2 linked regions of the Tamandua tetradactyla genome follow. The protein of the gene in region 1 binds, or shares a complex with, the protein of each later gene. Links are inferred from orthologs where the notes say so. Each region holds a gene or a part of one and is shown on either strand. Other genes may lie near its edges.

Region 1 (3,748 bases):
ATCTGGCAGGCTGGGGGCGTGTCTCCTCCTGGGGCTCTCAGCCCCAACTTGGTCTTGCACTGGTGGTGCAGATTCTCACACCAAGAAAATATGGGCCATAATATAGGTTTAATCATCAAACTAACAGGAAACACAGCCTATGTCAATTATAGAACTAACTACTTTCTACTTTGCTGAAATAATGCTTGGTAACTACACAAATTGCAAAATAAGACCAAGAGAAGACAAATTTCATGGGGGAAAAAAACGTGTGTTTAAGGCAGTTTCTTCAGATCTTAGAGCTGACAGTTGCTGTCTTGAGTTACCACGGCAGGGAAGAGAATTCTTTGGTCATCACCATGGGGATGGGTAGTGACCAAAGAAAATACAAACCTTCAGAGATGCAGAAATGAATTTCACTAACTTTAAAGAGAGAAAACTATATCTAGGAAAATCATCTTTCTTTCATTAAAAATTTAACTTCTGACTACCTCCATATCTCAAGTGATTGCTCACAAATGTCTACATTACCCATGACTGTTGTCTTTTTAATCAATTCCAAGTCCTGTTCTATTTTCAATATAGATCTTAAACTGTTATTTATCACTATCTCCATTGCTACTACCCTAGTCCAACATCAAGTCTCACCTTGACTATAGCCACAGACTCCTACCTAACTGGAATTCTTGCTTCCTCCTGCCCCTTTGGTTACTTTCTATATACCAATCAGTGATTTTTAAAGGAAATTCAATCACATCACTCCCTTACTTAAAGCTTTCTAATGGTTTTTCTCTATAGTTGATCAAATCCCAAATTCCTCAGGATGGTTTACAAAACTTACCTTAGCTGTGATTCCCAGCCTCTCTGACCTATTAACTCCTACCATTTCAACCCCCTTGCAACTCTGCAGACACACTGGCTTAACAGTCAGTTGTTTCTCAAACATGACTGTTTTGTCTAATGGCACGCATACTAGCCAACTTCTCTGTCTGGTCACAGCTCAAATGTCATCTCCACTGAGTGGCTTCCCTTGACCACCTGCTCCAAATTACCCCTGTCCCATGACCATCTCATGATCCTGTTTTATTTCCTTTACAGCACTTGTCATTATCCAAAATGCTTTTATGTGTTAACTGGCTCACCTCAGGAGGATGCAGGAGCCACAAATGGAGAAATTTTTTTTTAAACTGCTGTAGCCCCTCACCCTGAAAAGCAGCTGGCACACTGTAGGAGGTACTTAATTAACACTGTTCACCTTACAGTGCCTCAATTTAATCTTCAAATCTTTAACCTAATCAAATCAATTTAACAATATTTCATCACATTAAGGAAGTTCCCTTTGTGTTCTGAAATTCAGAGTGCCTAAGTCATTACATATAGTATAATTTGTGTTCTGGACCCAGTTCTGATACTGGTGACACTATGTATATAAAAGGGCACTTTTTGTCCTTGAGTGTGAAAGTCCTACAGAAACATGTCCAGGGATTCTCCAAAGAGAAAATACTTTGGCAAAGGGCTTATCCACCACCAACTTTCTATTATTTTTATGTCCAACTTCTAATTTATACAGTTGAATATCTACGACTAACAAGTTTCAAACACCTGAAATGCATATTCCTAGGATTGAGGGCAGGGCAGGGATAGGGTTTCCACGTCTCTGCACTCTGCATCTTGCATATTTCTCCACCTAGAATCCCCACTTGGCTTCTCTCTTCATGTCTGTAAGTCACCTTTAAAGTTCAGCTCACTTCCCAGTTCCTTCATATGGTTTCCTGGCTTGGCTCAACTCATATATGTTTACCTCTTAAATGGACACAATTATTCAACGTTTTGCCTTCACGGCTAGGTAGGGAAATGGATATTGATGTCGAATACGTGGCTGTTAATAAGCTATCTAAAGACTCGCTATATGGAATATATTTACTCACAGAGCTGGGCTCCCTCTTAATATAAGGGCCAAACACACAGGCAACGTATCCGAAGAAAGAAAAAGCACCACTTTGGATACAAAATGGAGAATACAAGCAGCATCAGAGTTCAGGTCAACCTCAGAGAGCCTCTCCGGGATTCACGGGCCCCCAAATCCTTTCAATCCTCAAAAGACACTCTAACCCCTCCTGGAACTGAAACTTGTGAATGCCCGCAAAAAAAATAATAAAAAGAATAAGGAATACCACAAGGTCGTGTAGTCGCAAAATGAATCAGAATCAGAAATAGTCGCAGGCTAGGCCCGATACTTACAAGGAACGCCGGCCAAATCCGCGTGCGAGTAACCCGCTCCGCCGGCTCCGAAAAAGCCGGCCAAGCCCCCCGTAGTTTTGTTTCCACTTCCCCCGCCGCCCTCCATGGTGTGCCTGCGCCTGCTTCCAGCCGATGCCTCAAGCCGGGGTCGTCCGCTCGGCCGTTGCACCTCACTAACCGCGGGGAGACCCGCGTTGCCACCGCCTCCTTCACACGCTGACCTTCCGGACGGCAGCGCTCGCTAAACTCGCCACACTTCCGCTTTGCGACAGCGTACGCCCCGGAAGCCGGAAGTACCTGACGGCAACCTTCCGGTGGTGGGAAAGTGAACGAAGCCAGAGTCAAAGCGGCGCATCCTGAGGCAGGTGGGGGTCCCTGTAGAAGAGGGAAGACAGGCCCCTGGATAGGGGCCGGCTTGGGAGGCCCGCGGAGCAGCAACTGCAGAAGCCGGCAGCGGCGGAGAGGGAATGTTGTGGGGAAGCGCCGATAAGGAGGCGCAGTCCGTCCCTCTCAGGGTTAGTGAATGAAACTCTCCGCCGGGGTCGGCCCGGGAACTGTGCGCCGTGGGTCCCAGCATGAATGCGGGCCCTGGCTGTGAGCCGTGCACCAAGCGACCCCGTTGGGGCGCCGCTGCAACTTCTCCGCCGGCCGCCTCGGACACCCGCGGCTTCCCCGGCAGGCAGAAGCGCGTCCTCGACCTCAAGGACGCTCCCGTGCAGTTCAGGGTCCCACCGTCCTCTCCAGGCTGCGTCCCGGGGCGGGCGGGACCGCACAGAGGCAGCACCACCTCTCTTGGTACGTGGGAGCATAAAAGTCTTTGTCTGTCTCCCGGACTCGAATCTCTTCCCGGTCTCTTAGGACCCGGGGACCCCCATCATTCCTTTCTGGCCTTGTGCGAACCATTCTGTGGTTCTCTTGCTGAACTTCCTGGCTTCTGCCTTCAAAAATCTATCAGGGAACATAAACAGTTATAAAGTCAATATAATAAGGGGTAATGGATGTTGTCATAAGTGAAGGACAGAGTTTAACAGTGGAAGTCAGAAGTACCACCTAGCTTAGACTGTGGGACCCAAAATGGGATGCTTATTTGAGGCCTGAAGAATGAGTAGGAGTTGACTGAGTGAAGAGAAGATAGAGAAGTATTCCAGGAGTGCGGCTGGTGTATAGAAGAGACTAATAACTGCAGAGAGGTAGGCAAGGGTCAGGTCATAACTGGTCATGCAATTTGTGCTGAGGCTTTTGAACTTTATTCCTAAGGGTAAGGAGAACCCTCTAGTGGGTAGGGGAGTGACTGATCAGGTGTGTGTGTGTGTGTGTGTGTGTGTGTGTGAAAACTCCCTGTGGCTGGTGTGTGGAAAACGTAAAACATTGGAAGGAGGCAGAGGTGGATGAGACCCAAGATTAGTTAAGAATTAGTCTAGGTAGTAGATAATAGTGCTTAGACTTGGATATCCAAATAGTGGATGGTTTTAGAAAAGAATGGGAAATGTGGATATGGGGCTCTGTGCCAGAAGTGTAGATTTGGGAG
Region 2 (3,748 bases), on another chromosome or scaffold:
TAGGAAGTAGGCAGTTAGACTGTGTAAGGCAGGGTAAGAAGTTTGGGTTTTATTTTAAGTGTAACAGAAAGCTATTGAATTATAAGGAGGAACAAGGATTGGATTTGCCTTTTTAAAGGCCCCCGTGGCTGATGTGTTGAGAAGAGTCTCCAAGGGGGTAGAGGAAGAAACAAGGAAATGAGTGAGGAGACTACAGCAATCAGGGGGACTCAGGCAAGGATAGTGGCAGTACAGGCAAGGATAGTGGCAGTACAAGTGGTGAGTTGTTGACTTGGGGATATATGTGCTTGGATGCTGAGTACACAGGTTTTGCTGATACATCAGATGCAAGATGGGGTGTGAAGGAAAAAGAAGAGCCAAGAATGGCTGAAGGTTATTGGACTAAAAGACTATAAGGAAGAGGGAATACTGAGATGAGGTAGACTGATGAGATTAGTTCTGGGAAAGAAGCAGGAGCTCTGATTTTGACCTCTTGAGTTTAGATGTAAAGTAGATATTTGGATATATGGATCTGGAGTTGACGGGAGAAACAAGGCTAGTTATAAAAATCACAGAGGGTGGGTGATGGTGGCACAGTGGCAGAGTTCTTGCCTGCCATTCCAGAGACCCAGGTTTGATTCCCGATGCCTGCCCATGCAAAAAGGAAAAAAGGAAAATCAGAGACCTGGGCAAACTGATGGCATTTAAAGTCATGACAATTGATGAGAGCTGCTTCTGAAAGGGCATGGGCAGAGAAAGAAAACAGGATTGTTATAAAAGGATTATTTTTTTACAACTTTAAAGCTGCCCTCTCTCTGACAAACTCCTATCACCTCCCTTTATGCAGATTTCAGACCTGAAATCTGCCTGTAGGAGATAAGATATGTCTGTCTGTGCAGGCACATTTAGGATTTGTTGATGACTGTTTTGACAGCATGGCATGTCCAGGAAGGAGTCCCAGTTGGAGAGGGGGCAGGGGCCATGTTTGCAATTCCCCCTAAGACCCCAGATCCGGGAGCAAGAATTGATGAGCACACAACAGAATGAATAAGTGCATGTGACTGGCAGCTCTAAGAGGTTTGCAGGATAGTATCACTTGTGAATAGGGCAGCCAACCCTCACACCACCCGGAGAAGGCCAGGACTCACCACGGGGGCATTGCGGAAGCCCTTGATGGCTTGGAAGACTCCGCCGCCTATGACACCCATGGTGAAGGCTCCGCCGCAATCATCCACAATCCGCCACGGGCTGCAAGCGGGAGGGGGGGGGAGGGGAAGGGATTAAGGTGAACCCTACACTGTGCGCTGTCACATGGACGAACTCTTTCCAAATCGGAGGAACCAAGGCACCCGGATGGGAACTTCATGAGCGGGAAGAAGTACTTCATATAATAGTGAGCTAGTTCTGTCACTTTTTCTCTCATTAAAGCGAGATATAAGGCAGAGGTGGGGGGGGGGTAGCAGTCTTTGCCCTGCTGACCCGTGCCCTTCGCAGCCAACTGGGGAATGGCTGTCAAAGATTAGATGAGCTGACACTAGCAAAGAGACAGCACTTTTACCTAACCACCACATAAGTTATTAAAGCAGAATGGGGTTGCAACCCCTTCTCCAACAATGGCTACAGCCAATCAAGTCCGGCCCTCCCTTTTAACCGAGCACCGGTGGGAAAAACCGAGAGCAGACGCTGGGGAGGATCCAGCATTCCCCTCTTTGCCCACAATATGATCACCCAGGCCCCACCCTCCATTAACAAAGCGACCTGGGAAAAACCACGCGTGGTAATCCTAGGGATCGCCGCTCAACATCGTAACCCCCCACCCCTTGCCGGAATGGATTCGACCAGCGTGTCTCTTTGTCGTTAACAAGGAAGGGCTGGGAGATACAAAGTCAGAGGTGAGGTGGAGTGGTTCGCCCAGTGCCGCACCTCCAGGAGCGCCGTTAGTGGGCCTCGTCTTAACCGAGCCTGGGTGGGAGGCACCCAGGTGGTGATGGTGGGTGGTGGGGCGAGCGAAAGGAAGTAAGTTTTGCAAGACGCTCCCGAATCTGGGACGCGGCGCCTTGCGGCTGGTGTCTTCCCCGCCCGCCCCCCACGGCCGGCCAGGGCGCCGCCACAACGATCCCGCGGCCTGTGCCCACCGCCGTACCAGGGCTCACGAGCGTACTCCTCCATGGCGCCGGCGTCCGGCCGGGCCACGCCCCCAGTGGCAACGCACACAGGAGTCCGAGCTCTTCACCTATTCTCGGACAAGGGTCGGGTCACTTCCCTCGACGTCAGGCCCAGGGAGCGCTCATTGGCTGCCAGGTTTGTGTCGTGGGTTCATCCCGCCTCCGAGCGTCGCCCAGTTACCTCGAGGTTCAGGGAGAAAGGCTTTCATTCTGTGCTTTGAGGGGAGAGCAGTGTGGTGTCGGTGATCCTGGCGACGAGGAGAGAGAGGCAGCCTGTCTGACAGCCTTCCACTAGCCCCGAGGCTGTATCGGCAACGCTGGGGTGGACGCATTCTTTTGGAGCCGGAGGAGGTGCTGCATTCTGCTCCCCCGTTCCAGCACTTTGGTTCCTCCCACCTGGCAAGCTTTGAGGGATATTGGGTGAGCCCATTTCTCCAGCGCGGGGAAACTGCGCCGGTTGCTTCGGTGGTGGGCAAAGCCTGCGAGAGGAATGCGGGGGTGGGGTGGAGGACCCGATGGCAATCCCGGCCACGAGAGGAGTGCTGGTGTCCGCTTGGCTGACCGTGGCCACCTATCTCCTCCATCTTTTGGCGCGTAGGTTCCGCCCGCCCAGTTTCTGGTGCCAGTCGGGAGGTAGGGATCAAGATGAGTCCATGCTGGAGGGAGGCGCTTGGTTACAGGATCCGGAATCATCGAGCTGGTTTTCAGTCTGTTGGTCGTCCCTAGGTCTGTGCTACTTGCCATGCCGCTACCCGTGGCGCTGCAGACCCGCCTGGCCAAGAGAGGCATTCTCAAACATCTGGAGCCGGGTAAGAGAGCTAAGCGCAAATGGGCTTTCTTTGTGCCGGGTTTGACAAGCACTTTGTTGTTGAGGCTTGACACTTAACACCAAGCTTGGGACTTCTGTGCGCTAAGCAGCTAGGAGCCAGGAGCTGGGGCATCTCATTAACATGGATTCCTGACATCCATTCCTATGTTTGCCGAGCACTGGGGCAGATAGATGTTGCAATCCTTAACAGTTCTGACAGCTGATAGCTCTCTAGTGCCTGCTATATGCCAGGTTCCATAGGGTGGTAAGTACTGTCTAATAACAAGGACGGCTGACATCTAGTGCAGGCTTCTGTATGCCAGGCACAGCAGGGCGTTGACCTTGATACTTTGTTGTTTACCAGACTGATAGATAGTATTTCAGGCCTGCTGTAGGGGAAGGCACTCTGCTGGTGATGTATATACTTTATTCACCTCATTGAGAACTGACATGTATTTTGGGCCTACTAAGTGCCTGCTGGCAAACACATTAGGGTTGAGAGTATAAAATAATGACAGTGAGGAGCTATTATTTAGGCCTTCTGTGCTGCTGCTAATATTTACACTTTATTGTTTATGCTAAAGGTTGGCATTTACTTTGGGCTACAGTATGTCAGGCACTGAAAAAATACATCTTATTGTTCACCTTTATTGATTTCAGCTGCCTGTTACAAGCTTGCAGCGTGCCAGGCAGACTTGATAGTTACTAATACAGATAATGGTCATGGATCTTACTTTTAAGCCTTTCTGAGTGCCAGCTCCTGTGCTGATGACATACATCTTATTAACAATTCTAA

The links. Proteins that work in one complex are often made in the same cells at the same time.
Region 2: mitochondrial import inner membrane translocase subunit Tim23 (region 1) and TIMM17B share a complex: the UniProt entries of both Homo sapiens proteins name them as parts of the TIM23 complex. The link is inferred for Tamandua tetradactyla from reciprocal best matches to the Homo sapiens genes TIMM23 and TIMM17B.

The regions. Positions count from the first base shown.
Region 1 is NC_135339.1:5,644,802-5,648,549, forward strand, and holds the start of mitochondrial import inner membrane translocase subunit Tim23, read right to left. Parts: upstream 2,469-3,748; 5' UTR 2,327-2,468; coding exon 2,221-2,326; intron 2,130-2,220; exon of another isoform or gene 117-2,129; coding exon of another isoform or gene 1-116. Other genes in the region: PARG (poly(ADP-ribose) glycohydrolase), read left to right, coding at 2,796-3,015. UniProt on the Homo sapiens protein: Essential component of the TIM23 complex, a complex that mediates the translocation of transit peptide-containing proteins across the mitochondrial inner membrane.
Region 2 is NC_135353.1:121,257,705-121,261,452, reverse strand, and holds the start of TIMM17B (mitochondrial import inner membrane translocase subunit Tim17-B), read right to left. Parts: upstream 2,258-3,748; 5' UTR 2,149-2,257; coding exon 2,123-2,148; intron 2,018-2,122; exon of another isoform or gene 1,903-2,017; intron 1,228-1,902; coding exon 1,128-1,227; intron 1-1,127. Other genes in the region: PQBP1 (polyglutamine-binding protein 1), read left to right, coding at 2,635-2,738, 2,871-2,953. UniProt on the Homo sapiens protein: Essential component of the TIM23 complex, a complex that mediates the translocation of transit peptide-containing proteins across the mitochondrial inner membrane.